2 linked regions of the Diceros bicornis minor genome follow. The protein of the gene in region 2 interacts with the protein of the main gene of each other region in a biochemical or structural test. Links are inferred from orthologs where the notes say so. Each region holds a gene or a part of one and is shown on either strand. Other genes may lie near its edges. The genes, in order: ANG and RNH1.

Region 1 (3,909 bases), on a different chromosome or scaffold from region 2:
AATAGAAAATAAGGTTTGGGGGAAAAAAGTTTTACTCTTTCATTAAAATGCATCTAAGTGCTTAGGCATTTGTGTTTCAAAATACAACAAGGAATTATAGTCTATGATTAATGAACATCATATCTCTGTCGGTAATTTTAATACGTATGAAGCAATTGCCAATTGAAAAAAAGTGCTCATATATTTAAAAAAATGTTCTGACGGCCTGAACTTAAAAGTCATTCCCCTTCTCCTGAAATGTTTTTCTATGTCTCTTCTTCAAGCCACTAGTCTCCCTGCACACAGACACAGAAAGCATGAGTTCTCCTTCTAAGGCTCTACTGCTGGTGTACTTTCCCCCTTTATACTGAGGACACATGTTTAATTCTGTCCTTAAGACTAATTATAAAATTAGGTGATGGAGGGAAGTGCCTAATCTCTAAGTTCCTTTATAACTCTAACATTTAGGTCTATAAACATGAAACTTATTTAGTGACAGAAGTAATGGTTAAAAGAGGATGAAGCTCACGTGAAAAGAAGGATCATGCCTCAGCCTCCAGGAAGGGGGGGCACTATTTATTGAGAGAGAATCGGGACAAAGTCCTGCTGACATGCCTATATTTCCAAACAAAGATAAAAATTAAACATTCACTTTTCAACAAATTCTGGGCTTTGTGCCCATTCTTTCTTTCCTAGGTATTTTGAGGTGTTCTTCTGAGAGTAACTATTTACAGAAATTGCTCTTTGCTCAAATACAGATTAAATACAAACTTCTAAAGAGGGGTTTCGCTGGCCTGCTTTGATCTACTTTCTTATCTATCTATTTTAATTTATGAATCACACTGGCAAATGTTTCCAACAATAACTTGACAAATCTCTGTTACCTGCTTATAACCTGACATCTGCTCTTTCAACAATAGCCAGAGCCATTCCCCTTCCTGGAATGGTTTTGCCCATCCTCTCTACTAAACTATAGTTCTTCCCCACATTACTGGAGTACCTTCTTTTGTATAAGAGTCATGTTACTAACACCCTGCCACCCAACGCAGTCATAGAATAAGAAAGAGATGGACTTCAGGGACCATCTGTCAATCCCTCATTTTACGGATGAGCAACAGAGAAAGAGAAAGAGAATATGTATTGCCCAAGGAACATCTAGTGTTCCTGGGACTAGAATCTTTCCAATGCACCACACAGCTTTTGTATTCCATACTAGTAATTTCTAGAAAATCAAAGCTAATTTTAAAGGTGCCACTGAAAATTGCTGTTTAAGGGAAACCTACATTGAATATTTCCATAAAGTTCAAAAATATTTCACTCTCCCTTTTATTTGTAAAAGAGCTGCTTGAAATAAATCGTCTGAAACCAAATTATCCTTCTGCACTAACTAGTTAGTAACTGTGTAGTTAAGTAGCTCTTGGAATACCTGAGGCTGCTTCTGGCAAACTGGCCATGTGCTGCTCAGATAATTATGTCACTTGGGTTTCTAGTGATTACATTTATGACTCCATTATAAGGTTCTTAATGACACAGAGGGAGGGTCTTGGCTCATTTGAGATTTCCCTAGTCCCCAGAACCGTGCTGAAACTGTTTCTACTGTCCTTCCTAAAGAAAGATGTTCTGTTTTGCCTTCGTGTTGTCACCATTTGATGTGCTGTTTCAGAGGAAGAAAGCTGAGGATCCCAACGTTCCAGTAAGAAAGCTTAGAGACGAGTCTGTTGGCAAAGAGTCTCCAAGAATTTCACAACATTGGCTGAGGGTGGGTTAAGGGTGGGGAGACAGAGGAAAGTAAACAAGAAACGAAAACACCAGGCCCCAAATGTCGGTTACGCTGGCACAAACTGGACAAGACCTGCTTCATAAACCTGGAGATCAACCTGGGTACCAAGCAAAGAATCCTTAGTTTTGAGCCTGTGCAGGCCTCCTCGGGTCTCCCTTCAGTCCGCCAATTCTGTGGTCTCCGCTCTGAGCCTAGGTTCCAGGCAGTGGGCGTTGACGCTGCCAACTCTGCTCAGCTGCGGGAAGTAAACATGGGGTGGGAATGCAGAATCGCGAACTCGTACTATTACTGGACTTTTACCTTCCTTCCCATTCCTCATCTCCCCCAGTCTTGTCCCACAAAAGCCTCCCGGAGGAGCCCCACACTGCCTGTGCTAAGAAGGGACTCCCTCAGGCAAAACACTCTTGATAAAGCCATCGACAGGGAGAAGGAGGAGCAGGAGTGTGAACCCACCTCGGCCTCGGAACAAGGCTGCAGAAACGGGCAGGACAGCGGAAAGAGAAGTTTTTGTTTCTCAGCCGCTTCTTCCTCGCTTATATGATGATGGGGAGCTGGCAGAAAACGCAAAGATGTTCTTTTGAAGCTTGCTTTGGATCCTGCGTGGGGTCAGCGTGCGTGTGTGTGTACACGGACGGGATAGGGGTCTGGCGAGGAGTGGACGCCTGGCGTGCGAGCCTCTCTGTGTTGTTGGGACCCCGCCTGGCTTCCCCGAGGAGGCCCCTTCCGCCTGGACCCGCCTTTGGAGCAGGCGCCACAGCAGCCCCCGCCCCAGGCGCGGCGGGCGGGTCCCAGCCTGGGCCAGGAGCGAGTCCGACGCGCAGCAGCTGCGGGGACACCGCCCCCGAGGACAGCCGACCACGGGATACCGGCCCCTGCTCCCAGAAGCGAGGCAGCCCCCCCGAGGCGTCCGCAGGCGAAGAGTCCAGGAAGCCAGGCAGTTTCATCCCGCACAGGTCCTCAGCCCCATCTCCCATGTGTTCATTCAGTGCACCTCTCTTTTGCAGAACAGTTAGGAACGCGAGAAAGTTTGTACAGAGCTCAATTTTTCCATGAGTAGTTTCCAAAGAAGGAGGGGGGGGGGGGGGAAAAAAACCAGGACACTGGAGGATCCGGGCTCGTCCGGGATTTGAACCCGGGACCTCTCGCACCCAAAGCGAGAATCATACCCCTAGACCAACGAGCCGCCGTGTAACAGTTTTCCCTACGTATCTTCTGAACTTCACTTTCCCGTCGGCGATTGGCTACACCATTCAATGGTTTTGTTCCCCTTTGTGACATTTACCTTTTGCCTTGCTTAGTTCTTCTTCCCATCTTCATAAAGTCTCACATCTGACTCTGGCCCTAGTTTCGCTTATTCTCCCCGATCCACGTCCTGGACCCCTCCAGACGCCAAGTGGGGTGAGAGGAGGCAGCTTTTCAGACTTCAGGCCACGTGTCTGAGATCCACCCAGCCCGGCCGGGACGGGTCTAGCCGCGAGCTCGAGCCTGAAGAGAGCCTGGAGGGAATCGGGTTGGAGCCCGAGGGCCCGAGCGGAGCTCGGCTGCGAGGCTGTAGGGTCCCGAGGCCAGGACGCACGCGCAGGAAGTGTATCTGTCGGGCTGCTACTACCTCGCGCGAGCATAAAATCCTAGGGGCAGGACTGGTGGGCACCATAGTACGGGAGCCGGAGTCGGTTGCAGGCGACCCAGTCTGGCGCGTGTTCGGATAGTCCAGACGTCTCGCAGTTTCCCCGAATGAGAATGAAGTTTTCCATCTCCCCACATTTGCTTCAGTTGTTTCCTTGGTCTTGAATTCTCTCTCTCAGTCTCATCCTAACTCACGTCAAATCCTATTCCTCTTTCCTGCTCCGGCTCAAAATCCTGTTTGTGGAACTATAAAAATATATGAATAGCTAAATGAATTAAAACTGTCTCGTAACGGCCTATGAATGAATGTCTGAAGAGTGAGGGCGAACACTTGGGCTGAAGGTCTCAGGGGCTTTGTTCAGCACATTAAAGCCCCGCACATACGTATGTATGTATGTATATATGGTTCTTGCCAACGAGTGGTCTTGGGTCTCTGAACTTTGGGTCTCAGGCAGCAACGTAGGATCCACTAGAAGCCAAAAGAAAGAACACCTTAGGTAACTCAGAACCTTTCCAATCTGGTT
Region 2 (3,909 bases):
CTTGGGCCACATCAGTGAGCAAGCAGGGCAAAGGTCTCAGCCCTCTAGGAGCTCAAGGGGACACATGAAATTAAAAAGCAAATTAATAGTAGGGCTGCCCCAGTGGCCTAGTGCTTAAGTTCATGTGCTCTGCTTTGGCAGCCCAGGGTTCACAGGTTCGAATCCCAGGCATGGACCTACACACTGCTCATCAAGCCATGCTGCAGTGGCATTCCATGTACAAAATAGAGGAAGACAGGCACGGATGTTAGCTCAGGGACAATCTTCCTCAGAGATTGGCAAGGGATGTTAGCTTACAGCCAATCTTCCTCACGAAAAAAAAAAAAAAAGCAAATTAATAGTGAGGCAGCCCTGATGGCCTAGCAGTTCAAGTTTGGCAAGCTCCGCTTTGGCAGCCCAGGTTCAGTTCCTGGGTGTGGAACCACACCACTCATCTGTCAGTAGCCATGCTGTGGTGGCGGCTCACACAGAAGAAACAGAACTTACAACTATACACAACTATATACTGGGGCTTTGATGGGGGGCGGAGAAGAAAAAAGGAGGAAGATTGGCAATAGATGTTAGCTTAGGGCGAATCTCCCCCCCGGGGGAAAAAAAAAGGAAATTAATAGTATTTAGAATGTGGATAGTGCCAAGGGGCAAAAATAATGCAGAATAAAAGGGAATCAGGAGTGCTGGAGGGTCAGGGCAGACGTCAGGCATGTCCACTCCCAGGCGAGAGCAGGCCACGGGTAGCAGAGGCCTGAGGCTATGGTGGCCGCCCACAGGTGGGTTGAATGTTTCACACACTGCTCACTGCCGACCTGGCCTAATCCTGGCGGCCGCCAGGGAGCAGCACAGTGCAGATGGCGACAAGAGAGCAGCGAGCTGATCTGCTGCAAGGGGGGCCAGTTCTTTGGGGGAATAAAGTGGAGGGTTACTCAATTTGGGGATATTTGGCTGGGCTGGTTCCTGCTTGTGTAGCTTGCTGGGTGCCAATGGACAAGGGGGTCGCACCACCAACGCAGCCCTGGAGAGCCCAGTGGCTTCGCAGGGACAGACCACTAAGGTCCAGACAACCCCACCCATGAGCTCCCCCCGAGTGGGTTCAAGGTGTCAAGTTGTCGAGTGAAGACAGCCAGCAGCTCTCCTCCCCCTCGACGCAAGAAATGAGCGAGGTCCTGGGTTTCCCACAGAGGCTGCTGCAGCCTGAGGTTGGGTGAGGGTGGGTGAGGCAGAGGGGCGAGGGGGGAGGGGGGCCCCTGGGTGTACCGGAGCTACAGTCAACGTGATCGTGATTTTTGTCACATGAGCATTATATGCTCTTTGTAGAAAAACCAGAAGACAGAGAAAAGAAAATGAAGAGCGCTAGAATGCCCATCTTCTAGAGACAACTGCTCTGACATCTGTTCACGTGCTCCTACCCACTCTGTACACACATTTTTAAAAAATAAAAAATCAGATATTAGGAATGTTAGGCAGAATAATGGCCCCCAAAGGTGTCCACGTCCTAATCCCCAAACCTGTCAATAGTTACCTTCCATGGCAAAGGGATCTTTGCAGATGTGACTAAGCTAAGGGTCTTAAGATGGGGAGACTGTCCTCGATTACCCGGATAGGACCAATGTAATCATGAGGGTCCCTATAAGAGGGAGGTGAAAGGGTCAAAATCAGCAAGGAGACGTGACCATGAGGTTGGAGTGGTTGCGCTTTCAAGATGGAGGAAGGCAGCTTCTAGAAACTGGAAAAGGCCAAGAAGTAGATTCTCCCCTGGAGCCTCCGGAAGGAGCCCGCCCTGTGGATACTCCGATTTTAACCCCCTAAGACCCATTTCAGACTTCCAACCTCCAGAACTGTGAAATAAGGAATCTGTGGTAATTGTTACCGCAATAGGAGACGAACGCATTATGGAGCTGCTATAACATTTTCCTCTCAAGAACAGATCGGTATACAATGTATACAAGCTAACTTGCAGTGAACCCCACATTGTGTGCCAGCCTCTGAATGTATTCCATTTACTCAACCCGTCTTACAGGCCGACATTTCGTCTCACCTGGTTAGCTTCCTGGTACCCATCCTAGAAGGGGGGCCGGCCTGGTTCCAAGATGCCGCCCAACTGCCCTCCGGAAACGCTGCAGAAGTCCACCAGCTTTCCCGCACGCGTGTCTCCGCACCGCGTGGGCACCGAGAGGTGCCAGCCCAATAGCGCAAAGTGCCTGGACCCCCCTGCACATCTCAGCCAACCCTGAGACCACCCTGAGCCCGCGGCCCACGAGGCGCTGTTCCAGTCACGCTCTCCTCTTGCCCCCGGGAGTCGTCCACCCAGCTCCCCCAGGCCTCTCAGGTGACCTCCCAGGGCTCCTCTGACTGGGCTCCGCGTCATCACCCGGCCTGCGGTGTGCTTCTTCCCGGGCACTCTCGGAGGGGTGGCCACTGGAAGCACGTGCGAGTGTCCCTCCACCTCTGGTCGTACGTCATGGAGACCCCGTCCCCCCGTTTCCCCAATACCCCCTGGGCGACTCCTCTCTGCCAGGGCTGTCCTTCCTGGGGGTCGGTTCTTTGCGGCAACAGGCCAAAGGTTACTCAATTTGGGGAAGAAAGTGTGGCTGGGCCAGCCTCTGCTTCTGCAGCTTGCTGGGCGCCAATGGACCAGGGGTCAGGGAGAACCCCGCACTCGCGCGGACACAGGCACCCAGAGCGGACCACGCAGGCGCAGACCAGCGCGCCGCGCCGCGCCTCCCAGCGTGCCTCGGGAGAAGGGCCTGAGCGGTGCGCACGCGCGGGGGCGCTCTCGGTGCTGTGACGTCCTCGGGGCGCGCCGACGGCCTCCAGGAGGCGCCGCTGCCTCGGCCCGCTCGGCCCCGCCCCGCCCCCGGGCCCCGCCCGGGCCCCGCCCGGGCCCCGCCCCCGCCGCACGCCCCCCGCCCACACGCCCCCGCCCACACGCCCCCGCCCACACGCCCCCACGTCCCGCCTCACGAGCACGTTTCTCCCCCGGGGAGCATGGCAGCAGTACCGCCCCTGCGCGTCCATAGGCGGCCCGACCACAGCCGCCGCCGGTGAGGGCTGACCTCGACACGACGACGGACTATCACTGGCCTGGAGACCGGAGGGAGACGGCGCACTTCCGGCAGGGAGGGCGGGGGCGGGACTGGAGGGGTGGGGGCAGGGCCTGGCGGGCGAGGTCTGGCTGCCGTGTCAGGACCGGCGGGGGGGGCGGGGCCCGGAGGGCGGGGGCGGGGCCTGGCGGGCGAGGTCTGGCTGTCCTGCCGGGACTGGTGGTGGGGCGGGCCCTGGAGCGCGGGGCGGGGCGAGGTCTGGCTGCCGCGTTTGGACTGGCGGTGGGGCGGGGCCTGGATGGGAGGGCGGGGGCGGGGCCTGGCGCGCGGGGGCGGGGCGAGGTCTGGCTGCATCGTTGGGACGGGCGGTGGGGCGGGGCCGAGCCGGCGGGGGGCGTGGCTGGAGGACGGGGCCGGGTGGGCATGGGCGTGGCCAACGGGGCGGGCGCAGCCTTTGGGGGTGGACTCCTCGCGCCCACGTGGCGGCGGGGAGGAGCGGTGGTCTGGGCGGGCTGGGAAGCGTGGTTGGCGGGCGCGCTCCGTGGGCGGGCCTCGGACGTTGGGCACCGTGAGGGCGTGAAGTCGTCTGGCCGTGACGTTGGCGTGGCTGTCAGGGGGCTCGGCTCGGTGACTTGGAGCGAAGTCTGGCTCCCGAGTTTCTGCACAGCAGTCCCTGCCGAGCACCGACCTGGTCGTATAGCTGGAGAGTATACGTAGATGGATGAAGTCATAGGAACGAGGGTGGCCACGTTATTCATTAAGGCACGGTTTGTGGTCTATGGGTAGTGCTTCATGAGTCTAACATTGTCAATTAACGGAAATAGTTCAGAGTCTCGCCTGACTGCGTTCATTCGAGGATAGTTATTAACTC

What was found.
Region 1: the proteins of RNH1 (region 2) and ANG are reported together in a solved structure, tested with the Homo sapiens proteins (3 studies listed by BioGRID and IntAct, with this or other methods). The link is inferred for Diceros bicornis minor from reciprocal best matches to the Homo sapiens genes RNH1 and ANG.

What each region holds. Positions count from the first base shown.
Region 1 is NC_080744.1:28,543,443-28,547,351, forward strand, and holds the start of ANG (angiogenin), read right to left. Parts: upstream 2,292-3,909; 5' UTR 2,213-2,291; intron 1-2,212. UniProt on the Homo sapiens protein: Secreted ribonuclease that can either promote or restrict cell proliferation of target cells, depending on the context. Endocytosed in target cells via its receptor PLXNB2 and translocates to the cytoplasm or nucleus.
Region 2 is NC_080770.1:334,036-337,944, forward strand, and holds the start of RNH1 (ribonuclease inhibitor), read right to left. Parts: upstream 2,448-3,909; 5' UTR 2,056-2,447; coding exon 2,033-2,055; intron 1-2,032. UniProt on the Homo sapiens protein: Ribonuclease inhibitor which inhibits RNASE1, RNASE2 and angiogenin (ANG). May play a role in redox homeostasis. Required to inhibit the cytotoxic tRNA ribonuclease activity of ANG in the cytoplasm in absence of stress.